Linked DNA regions of Oryzias latipes. The protein of the gene in region 3 interacts with the protein of the main gene of each other region in a biochemical or structural test. Links are inferred from orthologs where the notes say so. Each region holds a gene or a part of one and is shown on either strand. Other genes may lie near its edges.

What was found.
Region 1: the proteins of xrcc1 (region 3) and aptx form a complex in vitro, tested with the Homo sapiens proteins (2 studies listed by BioGRID). The link is inferred for Oryzias latipes from reciprocal best matches to the Homo sapiens genes XRCC1 and APTX.
Region 2: the proteins of xrcc1 (region 3) and polb form a complex in vitro, tested with the Homo sapiens proteins (5 studies listed by BioGRID, with this or other methods). The link is inferred for Oryzias latipes from reciprocal best matches to the Homo sapiens genes XRCC1 and POLB.

The regions. Positions count from the first base shown.
Region 1 is NC_019859.2:15,250,578-15,254,329, forward strand, and holds the start of aptx (aprataxin), read right to left. Parts: upstream 2,237-3,752; 5' UTR 2,137-2,236; coding exon 2,007-2,136; intron 1,790-2,006; coding exon 1,743-1,789; intron 1,623-1,742; coding exon 1,344-1,622; intron 1,219-1,343; coding exon 1,159-1,218; intron 1,057-1,158; coding exon 830-1,056; intron 1-829. UniProt on the Homo sapiens protein: DNA-binding protein involved in single-strand DNA break repair, double-strand DNA break repair and base excision repair.
Region 2 is NC_019867.2:6,237,113-6,240,864, reverse strand, and holds the start of polb (DNA polymerase beta), read right to left. Parts: upstream 2,868-3,752; 5' UTR 2,727-2,867; coding exon 2,666-2,726; intron 2,370-2,665; coding exon 2,312-2,369; intron 1,437-2,311; coding exon 1,370-1,436; intron 1,148-1,369; coding exon 1,073-1,147; intron 990-1,072; coding exon 931-989; intron 786-930; coding exon 736-785; intron 622-735; coding exon 570-621; intron 500-569; coding exon 445-499; intron 355-444; coding exon 282-354; intron 213-281; coding exon 142-212; intron 68-141; coding exon 1-67. Other genes in the region: enkd1 (enkurin domain-containing protein 1), read right to left, coding at 3,279-3,439, 3,542-3,678.
Region 3 is NC_019874.2:25,079,720-25,083,371, forward strand, and holds part of xrcc1 (DNA repair protein XRCC1), read left to right. Parts: intron 1-1,452; coding exon 1,453-1,565; intron 1,566-2,884; coding exon 2,885-3,047; intron 3,048-3,122; coding exon 3,123-3,363; intron 3,364-3,652. UniProt on the Homo sapiens protein: Scaffold protein involved in DNA single-strand break repair by mediating the assembly of DNA break repair protein complexes. Negatively regulates ADP-ribosyltransferase activity of PARP1 during base-excision repair in order to prevent excessive PARP1 activity.

The DNA.
Region 1 (3,752 bases), on a different chromosome or scaffold from region 3:
GAAAATGTCAAATTCAGCCGAGATGTCCTCGTGTAACACTACTCTGATGATTTATTGTGCTCTGAAAACAAACCCACAATGAGCACATTTAAAGCAGTAATACCTTTATTTATCCAGGTAGTGATGCTTCAGCACAAGCTCTCAGGGGAATCGTTGCATCCCTACTGCATATGTTTGCATATGTTTATGTTGAAAGTAACAAATACGAGCATTGTGCTAAATTTAATATAGTTTTATCACATTACACCAGGGTCATTATAAGCAAACTAAAGGGCTTTGTTTACTGTTACTTGCTTTCTAGATAATAATAAATAAATAAAAACCAATTTTTTTTTTATTATTATTTTGTTATACACATGTATCAAAGTGAAACAACACTGTGACCTGAAAAACCAGAAAGTGAATTGTTGCATCTCTTCATTATTCTTTATTAATTTTCAACAGTATGGGGAAATTTGAGGCTGGACGGTGGGGTAGTGGTTAGCGCTCTCGCCCCACACTGAGAAGGCCCTGGTTTGATTCCCAGCAGGGCCCTTTCTCTGCTGAGTTTGAACGTTCTCCCGATGGGTTTTCTCCAGGGCACTCTGGCCTTCCTCCAAAAGCATGCATCATAGGTTTACTAGGTGACTCTAAATTGCCCCGAGGTGTGCATGTGTTTGTGTGGCCCTGCAAAAGACTGGCAACCTGTACAGGGTGTTAACCGCTTTTCCTCAGCAGTAGCTGGGACAGGCTCCAGCAACCCCGAAAGGGATACAGCGGGTTAAGAAAATGGATGGATGGTGTACTTTAAGGAGTAACAGCCCAATAAACACACATAATAAAGACTTACCTCATGCTTGGGATGGCGTGATAACCAGTCCGGAAGCTAAGTGAGCTGGATTCTGGACATTGCTTAATCATGCGCTCAGCCACCTTCTGCATGTGTTTCAGCAGATCGCAGTGTTCTGCCTTCAAAGCCTTCAGGCTGGGAATCGACTGCCATGGAAGAACCAGCCAGTGGTAACGAGCTTTGGGATACTTGTCTTTGATCACTACAACTGTATCGTCCTTGTATATCTAAAAAAAAAAAAAAAAGATCAATTAAAACAGAAACAAAACCTAAATTTAGTTTCAATTTAGACGTACGTTTATCAGTAAGTAATGTTGAGTTATAGCTACCTGCATTTTGGGGTCTTGCATTGAAGTTTTCAAGCCTTGACTCCAATGCCCAGAAATTCCCTACAAAATGTCAGTTAACATGAATTATGAGAATGAATATTTAAATAAAAACTCTCCAGGTCTGCAACAATAATTTGTATATTAGGCATAAATCACAGATTGTAGATTTCTTTGTTTCTCCTCACACTAGTTTTTGTGGCTTCTCCTGGAATGACAGCTGCAGCGACTTTTTCTGTGAGTTGTCCAGCTTTCAGGCAGTCTGTCTCTCTTTGGCTTCCTCCATTCTCTTTGACTGGCTCTGGTGGTCTTTTGGTGGCGCCCTGGCTCCCGGTGGTGTCCTCTTTGAACTGCACGGTGTATGGATAAAGGCTGTTGACCACGAGCAGCTGCTCTCCAGGCTTCATTTTGACCTCATTGCCTTTACCCACCACCAAGGAGCCGACAGAGGTGGGGTTTAACCCCAGCTTAGGGAGGGGAGAAAAAAAACAGGTAAAAAAAATAGAACAATAAAAATAATACAAAATGTACAGCAATAAGGCTTTTTATTTTGTTTATACCACTGATCATTCTTGTGAGCATGTTACCTGCTTCACTTTGACATAACCTTTGTTGCATTCAGCTTTCAGTTCAACTGATGGGAAAGTCAGGAACATTTAGACAGGTTAAAACTTTGCATTTCGTTTTACAAACATGAATGAAAATAACTTGATGCTCAAGTCATTCAATTCCTGCTGTTTTCTTAAATGTATTATCCCTGAAATCACTAAAACAATAACAGATTATTTTCCTAACATTCTTACTGAACTCACAGGAAATCTAGAGACTGTTTTTGTAGGTAACATCGTTACCTTGATGCCGGGAGCATTTTTTGTCTTTGATAGTAGTTTCTGGGCCTCGACCCACGACAACTGTCTGTAAATGAGGCAGGTGAATGGGTTTGTGATTCCCCTCTTCACTAATGAGCCAGCAAATGGGCATTTTCTCATTTCGTTACGCTTTTCTCCCTAATATTTAGCAGCGGGACACGTTTGAATGTTTGTTCAACTTGTCGCGGAGTGATGACGAACGAGGGTGCGACCGAGGAACAAGGTGGGGTGGGAAGTTCTGTCTCCTCCCAGAGTTCTTCACTTTGCGAGAGCGCGCAACAACAGCAAAATTGTGAACGACATAAAAACGTGTTTTCTTGTATAAAAATGATATCTTGTAAAACAACTTTTTATTTTTTTTTATTTTTTAGTTGTTGCTTTTTAATTTTTTGGTCTTTTTTCTTCTTCTTGGTTGGTTGGTTTGTCAATGAATGGACATTAAATCATAGCAGTTTCAGAAAATTCAACAAGGCTTGGCTCTTTTTAAATAATATTTAAAATATCACTTTTTTGTATCTAAAACTTTTATTATGACTGACTTTCTGAAACGTGATTGTGCTGAAGTTAGATTCGTTCTTTTTTTCATTTAGGTTTAAATTTGTGGGTTTCAGTCATGTTAATATTGATATCTTTTGGGAGAAAGAACATAACTCGACATGGTGCGGTCACAAGTACCAACAGTCGGGTTTAGCTGTCGACGCGCGTTCCCGCGAGGTGGACGTAGATGTCTGCGCTGCGCGCAGACAAAACTCGACACCACACCAGCAGTCGGCAGAAAGAGGGCTGCAGGAAGATTCTGGAAGAGCCGTTGTGAGCTGCAGTCTTGTGAGGGTGCTAAGCGTGGTCTTCGTTTAAGGTTGGAAAACCACTAATTCTCGAAACATGTTATTAACAACAGCCCACACGTGATTTGTTGGCTAAAAAAATTGGCAAAAAAGCCACCATGTTGATGACATACATAGCTACGACATGAGTAGCTAAATTAGCTACAAAGGCCGAATCATTGTGCCCCTCTACGCAGAGAAATCTAACTTTATCCACAGATAATGGAACAGTAGTAAGCAGAACACCAATGTTAGTCGACATGATGAGCCTGTCGGACTGCATTATATTTTCGGTGTTTTTCTAAATCCCTAGAAGCTTTCAGCTATGATATTGACCAAATGAACAGACTCTAGCAAATAACCCGTTTGCTGCTAGAGCTTCTCGGGTAAAACTGACCTGAGGAACAAAAAGTCTCAGCATTGTTTATTTGTTTTTTTCTATTAGAACAATCTGTCCTAACACACACAGCTACCGTCTCTGTTTTCTCACACAAAACAACAGAAAATTTCTAAGCCAAAAACTCCCATCATGCTCATTTACATGCCTGAAAAAATGTTTTTTTAAACAGCAATGCTCAGATCTGACGTTGTTTAAATATTTTAGTACATAATCAGATTGCTTTGTTAGCAAGTAAAGACTTAAGACTCTTTCTGTTGTTGCTTTTTTCAGCGTCTGGTTGCTTATTGGTCACATTTTAGTCAATCTTAGAATTGGGCAACACACAAGTAAGAAAATTGGACCTCATTCACCTTTGTTTATCATTTCTGAGAAAAAGTTGGCTTTTCTGCTGTAAGCTTCATCCCTTCTTTTTTTCCCTTTCACTCTTGCAGTAACTGCTATTTATTTTGTTTTTCTTATTTAGGTGTTTGTTAAAGTTCCCAATTTTGTTAACTGTCATTAACA
Region 2 (3,752 bases), on a different chromosome or scaffold from region 3:
TGGACAGAGTGTCAGTCACAAAGCCAATGGACTCCAAGTGTTCAACCACAGCATGGAGGAGCTTGGGCTGAGGACAAAAGAACAGAAAACTGAGTTGCAGATAAAGATGGGAATAAAAGTATTCATGAGATTACTTTTTACCTGTTTCTCAGTCTGCGAGGTGTAGTTTGGGTGGGTCAGCAAAATATCAATATCACCACTCGACGCTGCACCTGGAAACCATAAACAGTTACAAACGCCACCAACCAGTAAAGAAAATGACTAAAGACAGTAAAGATCACCTCTTCTGTAGCTTCCACATATTGTTCCAATATATTCTGGATCAATTTTCTCCAACTCAGCAATGATAAGAGCCTTAAAAACACAAGATGATGAAAAGCTTGACAAATACACGACACTTTCCAGCCCGGAAGTAGAAAACATAGAAGCAAAAGGAAAAACTACCTCCATTTGTTCCATTTCAGCTCTTGGGATCCTTTTCTCAAACTCTTCAAAGTACCTAAATGAAGCAGATTAGTCACTAAACAGTCATTTTTGAGTATTTGAATAAGTAAATGTCAAACCTTTACCTGAGTCCAATCTTTTGATGGTGGTTAAGTTTGTGCTCAACCTTTTTCAAATCTGCAAAAGAATAGGAACATACGGAAAATCAACATAATGCAAAACATTTTAGAATTTGCAACACATTCATACTGATGTCACATAATAGTAATGCACATAAGAGACTTTACAAACCATCTAATGTCTTCACCCCTTCTTCAAAAAACTTCCTGGCGGCAGCAGGGCTAAATAAAAAAGACACACTAATTATATGTTTTTTAAATCATATCTGCAGAACAGAAATAACTTTTTTAGCTTCTCTTGAAGGACCACTGTAAAGGTCAATAAAAACCATGTCATCCAACTATACGAATAACATTACCAACATACCCAATTCCAGTAACTCTAGTGAGGAAGTTGATGGAAGAGCTGGTATCATCATTTCGGATCTATCGAAAAACATAAATAAATCAGTTTGTGTGACAACATGGATTCTATCAGCACATCCTCTGCAGTATCAGTAAACTCTCACCTTTTCTAGTTTTCTTAGTTTGCCAGTTTGTAGAAATTCATCAATCTTTTCTGCTATTTTGGCACCAACACCATCCTGAATCATGAAAGAGGAATTGAATGTAAATACGTAGGCGGATGCTTCAGCATTTTCAGGAGTTATAGAAAATGTAAGTTAACAAAATAGTTTAGGTTCAGATAGAGCTCATAAAACACTTCTTAAAACATTAACACATTCTTAAGACAACAAAAAACAATTCGGAAAATTTCACATCAAATAGGAGATATTTTAAATATATATATATATATCAGCACATACCAGTTTTTTTGCTTCTTCTCCGTTCCTAATCTTGCTTGGGTATTTAGAAATGGTAGATGCTGCTTTCCTATTATGAATGAAAGAGGTAAAAAAAATAAGATTAAAAAAAAAATATCAACGCAGGTATTAAACTCTGACTGAAGAAGATAAGAAAATCGTGTTGCTGAGAAGTTGGTGGAGAAAATGGAGGACTAAGTACTTAAGGTCCACAGTCCAGAACAACAAAGAGTGTGGGAAAAGAGGCATGTGCAAGCGGGTTGCAACGGGTGGAGGAAGGTGTGTAGTGTAACAAAAGAAAGAACGAAAGGAAAGCCGCAGAAAACTGTGGTAAGAGCAGCCATGTTTTTGAATTAGAGAGAGTGGCTCTGATGTGACAGGAGGCAGAGCTTTGGGTAGCAGAGATGAAGATGCTGAGGTTCTCTTTGGGTGTGATGAGGATGGATGAGATAAGGAAAGGTGTGAGATGTTTTGAGGATAAATGCAGGGAAGCAGACTGAGATGATTTTGACACGCTCAAAGGAAGGACAGTGATAATGTTGATCAAAGGATGCTGAGGTTGGAGCTACAGGAAAGAGGAGGTTCATGGATGTTGTTGAGGAGAAGGTGGGTAGTGTGAGTGAGGAGGATGCAGAGGAGGTTTAGTGGATGGAGGCGGATGATTCGGTGCAGCGATACCAAGGGAGCAGCAAAGAGAGAAAGCAGAAGGAACCACAAAACACACACTCATCATGCAACACAAACAAAGCACAATGTTAGGTTCTCGGCTCTATGAAAGATTTAGTGAAAATTTCTGTATTTCACAGGAAGGATTCAAAGAGCATGGACATATTTAAATGTAAAAATTGTGAAAAGGGGATGTTTTGGGCAGACATCATTGCTATAGTAATTATTTTTAAAAACAACAACAATGGGGCTTACACTCCCTTACTCTCCCGAACATACCTGTAAGCATTGTACTTGTGTATTGCCCTGTTGACATTTTTCTCGTAGTTGGCCAACTCTGCAAACAGAAACCCATTAAGGCATTCTCCCACCTCTCATGATTTTCAAAACACCGATCCGCCCATTCATCAGCTTAACTCTGCTAGCTTAGAGTCGGCTTTATGTTTGAGTGATTTTATCATAGTCATTAAGTTTAAATATTGTACATCAAAGTAACCTTGATGCTTTCTAACTGACGAGAAAGAAACATAATCAACGGGGCCACTCTCAATAAAGCATAATTAGCAAGATATGTGGGTATTTATTTTTAAATGGAAAGGCTAGCTTCTGCTAGCAAACCTTAACTTCACTTACCGATGAGAAAGTCCGTTATTCCTTCGTTTGGAGATTCCTGTGGTGCTTTTCTTTTGCTCATAGTGGATGTAATTCACTATTGTAGTGTTTTAAAAAAAATTCCCAAGTAATATTTGCGTGCGAAAGCGATTACAAGCTGCAAGGTGTCAGTCAGTTTCTGACTACCACGTTAGCAAAAGTTAGCTTGCTCTGAACAATGAGACATGGTGGGGGCGGGGCTGCGCGTGCGCACTTCGTCAAAAAGGATTCAAGTGTATTTATGGTTAAATTGGGTATAATACATAAAAAGACAAAGACACTGGTTCTGTACAAAGTATTATTGGATAAGATTTAAGAAAGAAAAATATACATTTTCATTACTGACAGTTATGTGGCTACAATACATCAAATACAGCTCAAAAGCAAAATAAATAAATTACAAGCAGATACACAACTGTTTTTCAAGATACCATGTATACATTTTATAAAATAAAAAATGCATTCAAAGCAAATAAATCTAATGTACAACTTTTTTGGGTATATTTCCACAGCAGTATCTAAATTGTGTTGATTTTTAAGGATCCTATTCCACCCTTTCCTATATATCCTCTTTATATATCCTCTTCTTGAGATGTTAGGAATCAGTTTTGATATAAACTTTGTCCCTGGAGAATATCTTTATTGCCTCCTCAATTTCAGAAAGCCTGCAGTCAAGATGAGCCCGACGTGAGCGAGTACTCAGGTTGTCTGCTTTCAGAGGGAGTGAGTTTAATTCCATCACCAGGGTGCGATGAGCTGAGGAGGAAAAAGTATAATTAACCAAGGAACTATAAAGTCTCACACTATACGTGGTGTATTAAGTATCAAAATCAACTAAAGGTGAAGGTAAATACATACTATCTTTCAGAGATTTCAGTGTTTCCTGCCTTTCACTGTCCTGCATTAAGGTGTGACCAGGTGGGATTGTAGGATCGGGTGTGTTTCTTTTTCTCTCCTCCTCCTCTTTGCGCCACTGTGCTTTCCTTTCCTCAAGGCTGTAAGTGCAATGTTCAAAACGAAACATACTTTTAAGTTATTAATTAGATTATCAAAACTTTTTCCATCTCAG
Region 3 (3,652 bases):
ATGAACTAAATGGCAGAATCCTTTTCAGATCTACTTGAAAAAATCAGCCAACAAGAAGCTCTGTAACTTAATTAATGTGGGCCGCATTTACACTGCATGGTTGAGGTGACCCAATTCCGATTTTTTTTCCTCTCATGTGGCACAGATCGGACATGACCGGTGAACTTGTAAGCAGGAAAAAACCGCATGGATTCCGTTTTTTCAGATCGGATTCAGACCTCATTTATATGTAGAAATGAATCGGATACGTGCATTTGCGTTTTCCATGTAAGCAGACAAATCGGATATTCCCCAGTAAATGCGAGTCGTACGTCAGTGACATCAACTCAGGACACCACCAACTGAGATCACATGACTTATTAAGGTGCTTTTGTGCGCTGATTTTGCTGTTCGAGGACAGCTGGAGCCCCAGCAGCGTGTTACCTTTCAGCCTCAGGCTTCGTTATTTCCGGTCCCGGTCTGGACGCAAACGGTAACTAATCAAGCGGGACACCGTTGCTCTGGAACAGGCTAGAAGCCGTTTGTTTCTTTGCTTGGATCAGACTTTTAGTACAGCACAACGTCTGCAACACTTCCTCATTCAAAACTCAGAGAGAGCACATAAGCCGACCGCGCAGCTCTCCTTTTTCCTCTCCCGCGCATCCCCTCTCGTGGATCTGCCTCATCCTGTAGCGTCTAAGGCAACGCCTCCTTCTGTCGCTGCGTTGCCTCCATGACAACCGCAGTCACACAAAAGTCCGAAGGAGGTCTGCGGAAGGCGGAAATGCTGCTACGGAATCCTCAGAACGTCTACGTTTGATATTCAGCATTGTATAGTGTAAATGCAAAAATCGGATATGGGCCACTTTTAAAAGATGATGTAAGCGGGTCGTCAGATATAGTCAGAAAATCGGATTTGGGTATCAAGACCTGCAGTATAAATGCGGCATAAGTTGACTGCTCTCTTAAGGCTTGTGGAGTCATTCAACCCTGTTAAATGATTGGGTTTGAACTTGTCTGCCACCTGCTGGCTGACTGTTGCATGTGTAGAGATATACGTTTGTTAGGATTAGTTTGTTTCAAAACATCAGGACCGAACAATTGATTGTTGGGAGGAAAATAGCAGATAAATTGGAATTTTAAGTCAAAATCGTTTGTTTCTTTATGTGGTACTTTGTACTTAGCGTGTTTTCTAAAGGGGGCGGGACTAACTGATGGGGTATGATGAGTAAACTAAAGCAAAGGTCATGAGTTTGAAAGCAAGTAAAGAACAGGATGGAGCTTGTTTTATACATAATCGCTTCATCCAAGAATTTAATGAATGACAGAAAAGGCAACACATCCGATGTTTGTTTAGACTTCTCTCAACCCTCGTGTAAAATAAGAGAAATATCCCAAACTGAAACAATGTTAGTCGTATTTTGTATTATCAGTTTATTTATTGTGAGTGGGGGTCCTGTGTTCCCTCCTCAGTGTCTCCTCAGAGTGACAAGCTGAGTTACGCTGCTGCTGCTCTGCAGGCAGGTGGAGGCCCTCACCCATCAGGCCAAGCCTCCTCCTCCTCCTCCAGCTCAGCCTCACCACAGGTACTAAACACCGCCATCATTTTCTGCTGTTCCTTCTGTGAGCCCTCAGCTTGATTTAGACCAGAGAGGCAGCTGTGTGCGATGCAGACAAGAAGAAGCCAAAGTAGCAAGGCTCATGGAGATTGACATCTGTAGAGATCAGAAGATTGAACTTGATAAAAAAAAGAGTGCAGCTGTTCAATCAAGTTTTTGAAACTTTTCCATTTTTAAACACATTTGGAAAAGAAATATGATTGAATTATAATGTTTATTGCACATGATTGATTTAGATAAAAGTGTATTTTTTGAAAAAACCTGAAGTTGCTCTGCTGTTCTGCCTGAATAAACACTAAAATGGAAAGCAGGAAAGATCACAGTGTCTTTGCACAAATAGCTACGAAACATGACACTTTACCACAGCTGGGGGGTTTATTGAAGAGTCGTTGTTTTAGTCTTGGGAGTTTTTTTTTTCCTAATTAAAAAACTGCCTTTTCTGCCAATCTCTTTCCGAAGTTTGTTTTCTGATACTCTTTCATAAAAAAATTTAAAAAAAGTCCATATACACTAAGCTTGGGTGATAAATTGATTTTATTGATGAATTCTAATTTGCAGTTTATTTTTGAGAAAATCTGGAATGTGGACCCCCCGTTTCTTCATTTCTATGGAACTGGTTTGTTTTTGCGACTTCAGACTCGGGGCAACAACCACAACCTGCACGCTAGAAAAGCTGTTAGAAGGCTTTGGATCCCAGAAGTAGGAGTGGGACGGATTTGTTTTAGCTCCAGAAACAGAAACCAGTCGAGTGGGAGAAGTTCTGTTCTCTAAGAGACGCTCAGGCTAACGAAAGTCGTTTCGTTTGACCAATCGAATGGACTCCTTTTATGTAAGAAGCTCGCCTCCCATGTAGACGAGGGTCATTTGGAGTGTAGTTGAAGTTATGTTGACTCTTATTTAAATTAAACTGTTGCAGTGAAATGAAACGATGTTTTGGGTTATTTTGCTGTTTGTTCATGTGTTATAAGTTACATCGTCATGGCAATATCGATCATTAATAGCGCAAATCGTGTGTTTTCTTCATAACGTGCAACTCTAGTACTCTGTCATTTTTGTTTAAGAAAACAAACGGGTAGAGAAAAAATGGCTTTAAATCAGAAATCAAATTTGGTGTAAAAAAACGTAGATTTTATTATTAGGCCACATCGCCCGGCCCAGTTTTCCCAAATACTTTGTTTTGGACACATTTTCTGTGGATTCGGTTTCACTTCATTTTAGCTGAAGTGTAACACTGCTAAAGTTTAGCTTTTAACTGACTTTTTTATTTTATTTTGTTTTTTTGGTAGCCACCTGTAAAAAGAAAGTTTGAGTTTAGCAAAGAGCGACTGTCTGCCTCCGGTCCTTCTCCCTCAACCAAAAAGAGTCCTGCTGGTTCTCCTGAGAGCAAAGCCGCCACGCCCAAACTCAAGCCAAGCCCAGCCGCTACGCCCAGCCCAAGCACCACTAAAGGTAGGTCCCTGCATTCAGACTGATGCTGTTAAACCAATACTCATCATTTTCTTCTGTGGTCGTTTTGTTCTGCAGTGTCGTCCACTCAGAGATCCACTGAGAAGAAGAAGGAGGTACAGTCTAAACCGGAGCTTAAACCCAAACCAAAAACCAAACCCCAAAGTGAGCAGCAGGTCCCGTTCAAGAAGATCATGGAGGGGGTCGTGTTTGTGCTAAGCGGCTTCCAAAACCCCTTCAGAGGGGAGCTGAGAGAAAAAGCCCTGGAGATGGGAGCCAAGTACCGCCCAGACTGGACGTCCGACTCCACACATCTCATGTGAGCAGTTAAAAAAGGGAAATCGGTTTGCTCAATGTTACGTTTTTCATCAACATCAACAGACACTTGGGTTTGGAACTATCACTGTGAGCGAAATAAGCACTAAAGCAAGACAAAATCCTCATTTTACACAACAAACGTTACATTTAATGGGCCATTAGCTCCCTAATGAGGAATCCACCTCATGCAGTTTATTAGTTTGCTGCTTTCCTGCAGCCATGAAGTGTTATTTGCTCATCTGACTATTTAGGTTTAAGTTAAACTGCATTTTTACATCAACTATAGTACT